2 linked regions of the Callithrix jacchus genome follow. The protein of the gene in region 2 purifies or fractionates together with the protein of the main gene of each other region. This does not show direct contact. Links are inferred from orthologs where the notes say so. Each region holds a gene or a part of one and is shown on either strand. Other genes may lie near its edges.

Region 1 (3,093 bases), on a different chromosome or scaffold from region 2:
ATGAGCAGGGGGTCATGCTCTCAAAAGCACACACACTCATAGGCCCAGCGCAGTGGCTCATGCCTGTAATTCCAGCACTTTGGGAGGCTGAGGTGGGCAGATCACCTGAGGTCAGGAGTTTGAGACCAGTCTGGCCAATAAGGTGAAACCCTGTCTCTATAAAAACACAAAAATTAGCTAGGCATGATGGCGGGCACCTGTAATCCCAGCTACTCAGGAGGCTGAGGCTGGAGAATCACCTGAACCCAGGAGGTGGAGGTTGCAGTGAGCTGAGGGTGCACCAGTGTGCTCCAGCCTGGGTGACAGAGACTCCATCTCAAAAAAAAAAACAACCCACACATCTATGCACCCACAATCACACACCCACGTGCACACACTCAGAGGCACGCACCCTCTGCTTGTGTCACACTGTGTCACTGCTCCAGGCTGGGATGTGCTTCCTGCTCCCTGTCTCCCCCACTAGCCCGCAGCTTCATGAGGACAGGGACTCTCCCTCATTCCCTGCCCCCCAGAGCCTGGAACACCCGATGTCCCAACACGGTATAGACCCAGTAACACTTTCTGTACAAACAGATGTAGCAACCACAGTGTAACTGTAATGATCTCAGAGCAGTGACAAAGGCAAACTGAGTGGGGGGGTGGGGTGGGAATCCCAGAGCAACCTCGACCTCGAGGGCGTCTTGGTGCTTCCCAACCTGGAAACTGGTGGGCTGGTGGGAGAACTCCTGGTGCACACTTGTGGAAGCTTCCCAGTAATTTCTACAAGCTGAGCTCTCGGGGGAGTAGGGGGACATCTGGTGGCCGGTTGTTGAAGGTTGTTGCCGAGAGGAAGGGAGCCAAGAGAGAAGCCTGCAGCGAGGGCATCCTGGGCTTCTTGGGTTCTTACCACCCTTGCTCCTGCCGGCCCCTGACCCACGCCATCTAGTCCACGCCCGAGGAGTTGGTCAGGTAGAAGGGGCGGATGACTGTGCGGAAGCTGCTGAAGTGCCCTGCTGGGCAGGGGAAGAAAGAGGTGCCCTTGGAGCTGTTGGTGTCCAGGGCGCTGGGAATCTCGGCCTTCCGACCCTCGAAATCAGTGACGTCTGCCACGAAGAGCCCTTCGCAGAGCATGAGGGCTTTGTTTTCGTAAGCGATGGTACTATCTGAGGGGCCCGACTTGGTGAGGCCCAGGACAGGCAGCTCGTCCGAGGAGCATGAGAAGCCATAGTTCCAGCAGCTCTGGATGGTGGGGAGGTAGACCAGGGACCAGGACACCCACTTGTCCTGGAAGAGGAAGCTGGGGTGTTGTGGGGTCTGGAAGGACTGGTAGGGGTAGTAGTATCTGTAGTCGAAGGGGGCTTGGATGGCATTAGCAGAGTATTTGAGTGAAGAACCCACTGTGGGCCGATAGACCAGCTGTGACTTCCGTGCACTCCAGCGACTGTCCGTCACAGAGGCACTCCAGGTGGGCGAGGTGTAAATCCGGGGCTTGTAGGCATCCTCAGTGAGGTTCAGGCCTTTGTACCGGGCCAGCAACTGGAAGGGCACGGTGTGGAACTCCAGGGCCTGCAGACTCTTCTTCTGGAACAGGGCCTCGTGGCTCCAGTACAGGGACAGGTTGAACTGCAGCTCAAAGAGCTCCTGAGGGAGCATCATGGGGAAGCGGACCTTCTCCACCAAGCCCTCCAGCTCCTCGTGGGAGGCATGCTCCTCCCAGCTCCAAGTGTCCACGGCCTTCAGCAGGGCCAGCTCGCTGGGCACAGCCAGGTCGCTCCTGAGCAGCAGCAATTGGAGCAGGTCTGTGGGGACACTGGGCCAGGCCTCAGCCTGTGTCAGGGCCTCGAAGTTCCAGGCCAGGAACTGAAGGCAGAGCTTCTCCAGCAGGGGGTCCCCAGTGGCCACTGCGTAGGCATACAGGTCCAGGGGCATCTGGAATGAGGGGTCCCGGGGGAGGAGGATGGCAAAGAGGCTTCCGCTGTAGCCCTGCAGCTGCTTGGCCCCATAGGCAGAGGCCAGCTTGTGGAAGCACTTAACCGATGACAGGGTGATGTCGATCCTTCGTGAGTAGAAGTACCTGGGAAGGGTGAGGGAGAGCTGATGCCGGCCTCACAGGACAGCAGGGGAGCCCTGAGCCCGCCTCTCCAGCACAGCCATCTGCGGCACACCAGAGTGTGTACAGCGTGGGAGCAAGTATGCGTGAGTGCAACTGTGTGAGTGCATGTGTGACTGCGTGTATACATGTGCACACATGAGTGTGTGCAGGTGTGCATGTGCGTGTGGGTGTGCTTTTGAAGAGGGGAGGAGGACAAAGCCCCTGGCGGCCCCAGAGCCTGAGGACAAGACAGCTCACCTGAGAAAGTCTCTGACCATGGGCACGCACTCAGCATCCACATGCATGGTGACATTGCTGCCCGGCTCCTCCCACAGGGCCTGGGCCTCCAGGTTGGCAGTCAGGATGACTGTGTGGCCACAGAAGCCCAGGGCGTCCTCACCCTGCACGCTCACGTTGATGGACAGATCGCAGCCCTGCTGGCTGTCAAAGATCTGACCAAGGGCCTCTGAGAGCTCTCCAGAGAGGTCCAGGGTGTGGGTGCTCCTGGTTTCTAAGAACGGGAGGGAGGGAAGCAAGCTGTGTTAGGACCCGGGGCGCTGCCACTCTCTGGGGTCAGCGTCTTCATCTAAAAGTGGGGATTTGTGTCTGCCTCATCCACTCTGGAAGGCTCCTGGGAAGATGAGGAACAGGAGAGACCTGCAGTTTCGGATCCCTGGGTCCTGAAACCCCACCCCTTCCAGCCCTGAGGTCCCACCCATTCCAGCCCCGAGCCCCACCCCTTTCAGCCTCGAGGTCCCACCCCTTCCAGCCCCGAGCTCTACCCCTTTCAGCCCCCCCCCGAGGCCCACCCATTGCAGCCCCCGAGGCCCACCCCTTCCAGCCCCGAGCCCCACCCCTTCCAGCCCAGGGTCTCACCACTTCCAGCCCCGAGCTCTACCCCTTTCAGCCCCCCAAGGCCCACCCCTTCCAGCCTCGAGGCCCACCCCTTCCAGCCCTGAGGCCCCACCCCTTCCAGCCCTGAGGCCCCACCCCTTCCAGCCCCGAGCCCCATCCCTTTCAGC
Region 2 (3,653 bases):
TCAGGAGGTCCTTGCACCGAACTGGCTGAAGGGCCTAACGAAGGCATTTCACGTCTTGCACACAAAGAGGAAGGCCCTAAGCAGCTGCCCTGGCCGCGTGGGCAGCAGGTGCACGTCTGCCCAGTGTGTGCTTTCCGGAGACCACAAGCAAAGCAAGGCTCTGACCCCAGAGACAGCAGCACACACCCTCCATGTCCCCCATGTCCTCAGGAGCCCTAACTATACAGGAGAGGGCAGCACGTATCCTCTGTGTCCCCAGGAGAGCCCTACCCATATGGGAGAGGGCAGCACACACCCCTCTGTGTCCTCCATGTCCCTACCCATATGGGAGAGGGCAGCACACACACCTCTGTGTCCCCCATGTCCCTACCCGTATGGGAGAGGGCAGCACACACCTCTCTGTGTTCCCCATGTCCCTACCCGTATGGGAGAGGGCAGCACACACCTCTCTGTGTCCCCCATGTCCCTACCCATATGTGAGAGGGCAGCACACACCTCTCTGTGTCCCTGGGAGCCCTACCCATATGGGAGAGGGCAGCACACACCCCTCTGTGTCCCCCATGTCCCTACCCGTATGTGAGAGGGCAGCACACACCTCTCTGTGTCCCTGGGAGCCCTACTCATATGGGAGAGGGCAGCACACACCCCTCTGTGTCCCCCATGTCCCTACCCATATGGGAGAGGACAGCACACACCTCTCTGTGTCCCTGGGAGCCCTACCCATATGGGAGAGGGCAGCACACACCCCTCTGTGTCCCCCATGTCCCTACCCGTATGGGAGAGGGCAGCACACACCCCTCTGTGTCCCCCATGTCCCTACCCGTATGGGAGAGGGCAGCACACACCCCTCTGTGTCCCCCATGTCCCTACCCGTATGGGAGAGGGCAGCACACACCCCTCTGTGTCCCCCATGTCCCTACCCGTATGGGAGAGGGCAGCACACACCCCTCTGTGTCCCCCATGTCCCTACCCGTATGGGAGAGGGCAGCACACACCCCTCTGTGTCCCCCATGTCCCTACCCGTATGGGAGAGGGCAGCACACACCCCTCTGTGTCCCCCATGTCCCTACCCGTATGGGAGAGGGCAGCACACACCCCTCTGTGTCCCCCATGTCCCTACCCGTATGGGAGAGGGCAGCACACACCCCTCTGTGTCCCCCATGTCCCTACCCGTATGAGAGAGGGCAGCACACACCCCTCTGTGTCCCACATGTCCCTACCCGTATGGGAGAGGGCAGCACACACCCCTCTGTGTCCCCCATGTCCCTACCCGTATGGGAGAGGGCAGCACACACCCCTCTGTGTCCCCCATGTCCCTACCCATATGGGAGAGGGCAGAATGCGCCCCCCATGTCCCCGGGAGCCCTACCCGTGTGGGAGAGGGCAGCACATACCCCACCATGTCCCCAGTAGCCCTACCCATATGGGAGAGGGCAGAATGTGCCCCCCATGTCCCCGGGAGCCCTACCTGTACGGGTCATGGATGATGCCCCTGTAGATCCACTTCTCCAGAACCTCGAAGTAGGGAGCACTGGCCGCCTTGGTCAGGTACAGGCACAGCTCCTGCGCCTGGCTGTCCCCAGTGTAGCTGAAGCTCCTATCGTGAAGCAGGCTCAGCGTGGATCCCCCAAGACACTCGCCTTTGTCCACTGAGGTGGCTGCGGGGAGGAGGGAGCTTACTGCTGAGAGGGAAGCACACGCTCAGACTGCCAACGACCCTGCTGGGGCCTCCTGCACTTCTCCTGCCTTCTCACTGGGACGGTGCTGCGTGTGTGGGATGTATACAATCTGCAAGGTTGTAGCTGCTGATGAAAGCTGACCAGTGAGAGCCCCCAGGGCTTTCCTCTCGCAAATAACAACACACGGAGCCACATGGGCTTTGGCTGCAGGCTCCTCGCCTGGGCGGCGGCTCCACAACACGCTGGGTGCTGCATTGTGACACCTGCCACCCACTGCCCCACTCTCCCCAGCGGGCACGCACCAAGGGAGGCGAGGATGTCCATGGTGCGCATGGCCGGCTGGATGTAGAACCAGAGCTTCTGCAGCGACAGGAGGCCCTGCCTGTGCAGCTGCTCCAGCTGTGACACCAGAATCAGGTGCTCCTTGACCAGGGTGCGCATGGCGGCTGCCAGGGCGTGGTTCACCTGCCCATACTCAAAGGAAGACTTCTCTTCGATGAACCTATGAGAAGAGCTGTCAACTTCTGCAAAAAGGCAATCTACATCCAGATAAAAGGTCAGATATTCTGAGTCTCATCCCTACACAGGAAGTAAATGACTCACTCAAATCCCACACCCCAGAGGGGAACTTTTGCCCCTACGAGGAGATGAGTCAGGACCCTCCAAAGCTGAGCCGGTCACGGAGTTGTCCCCAAGGTGGGGGCTCTCTTTAGAAGGGTTGCAGATGTCTCCGTGGACATCAGGATGGGCCCTGACCCCTCCCTCACGGCAGTGTAAGCCCGCAGGGACTGCGCCCGGTGCCCACCTGGTCACAGTGGAGTAGCTGGCAGCCACCGGCAGGATCCTGTTCACCAGCTCCCTGATGGACAGGTCCAGGTTGGGGTCCACAAGGAAGGTCCGGCTCTGCCTCCCGGCCAGGGGCTGAGCAGTAACATGCCTCCCGTCCACGCCCACCAGCACATACAGCAGGTCCTCCACCACGGCTGACTCCTGCGAGGCTAGGGGCAGCGTGCCTGCGGGCACAGATAGCGCTGCAGCTCCTTGGCCCCCACCCCACCCCCCACTGTGCCCTCATCCTCGGTCAGTCTCATTCTTGCTCATTGTTATAATGCCCCAACTGACTGTTTATGGGAATGAAAGGTCAGCCTCTGCGTTTGGCTCTGACTGACCCACTGGGGAGCTCAGTGCTTGGCTGAGTTCCACCCACTGCAGGTCGGGCTGGCCTAGGAGACGCGGTGGCTCACGTCAGGTCTCACCACATGGGACTCCGAGATGCTCACACACGTGCCTGACATTTGAAAAGATGAAGTTCAGGGTTTAAAAACCAACTCCAGCGGAGGTTGTACTTTCAGCATTTGTAAGTACAACTTGGTGAGTCTGGGTTACTCTGGGACAAAAAAAAAAAAAAATCAACGTTGTCTTTGAAAAGCTGTCATTTAAACGTTAGGAAACTGATCATTTCTATCCACTCGTGTGAGACGGCTGCAGGACAGACAGCTAAGTCTCCTTGTAACCACCCAAGCAAACCTCGAGGACGGCCGCGGGCCATCCACCCACCAAACCCTCATGTCCCAGGGTGGGTCCGTAGCTCTCAGTCCATAGCGGGGGAAGCAGCGTGTTGAAACAGTCCCCAATGGGCCTGACAGGGCCCCGGTGCCAGCCAGCCCGCACCAAAACCAGGCCCCAGCCGCTGAGAATGGCTCCGCAGAGCACACTTCCAGTTTACACGACGGCTCTGTCAGCCTCACACCTCTGTGACTGCAGGCCCTGCGGCTCGGAGCGCAGCTGCAAGCAGCACCAACATGAGTCCCTCGGCGACAGCGTCAACCACGGCGCAGATCCAGTTTGCTTCCCTTTGTTTCTGAGACGAATCTTGCTCTGTCACCCAGGATGGGGTATGGTGGTGCGATCTCAGCTCACTGCAGCAGCCTTGACCACCCAGGCTCAAGCGATCTTCCCTTCTCTGCTCCCTCA

What was found. Proteins that work in one complex are often made in the same cells at the same time.
Region 1: the proteins of TUBGCP2 (region 2) and LGALS3BP purify together in Homo sapiens (affinity purification with mass spectrometry; 3 studies listed by BioGRID and IntAct, counting the BioPlex papers as one, with this or other methods). This does not show direct contact. The link is inferred for Callithrix jacchus from reciprocal best matches to the Homo sapiens genes TUBGCP2 and LGALS3BP.

Annotation. Positions count from the first base shown.
Region 1 is NC_133506.1:134,719,341-134,722,433, forward strand, and holds the end of LGALS3BP (galectin-3-binding protein), read right to left. Parts: intron 2,583-3,093; coding exon 2,330-2,582; intron 2,054-2,329; coding exon 922-2,053; 3' UTR 577-921; downstream 1-576.
Region 2 is NC_133513.1:126,624,853-126,628,505, forward strand, and holds part of TUBGCP2 (gamma-tubulin complex component 2), read right to left. Parts: intron 2,693-3,653; coding exon 2,485-2,692; intron 2,182-2,484; coding exon 1,982-2,181; intron 1,659-1,981; coding exon 1,469-1,658; intron 1-1,468. UniProt on the Homo sapiens protein: Component of the gamma-tubulin ring complex (gTuRC) which mediates microtubule nucleation.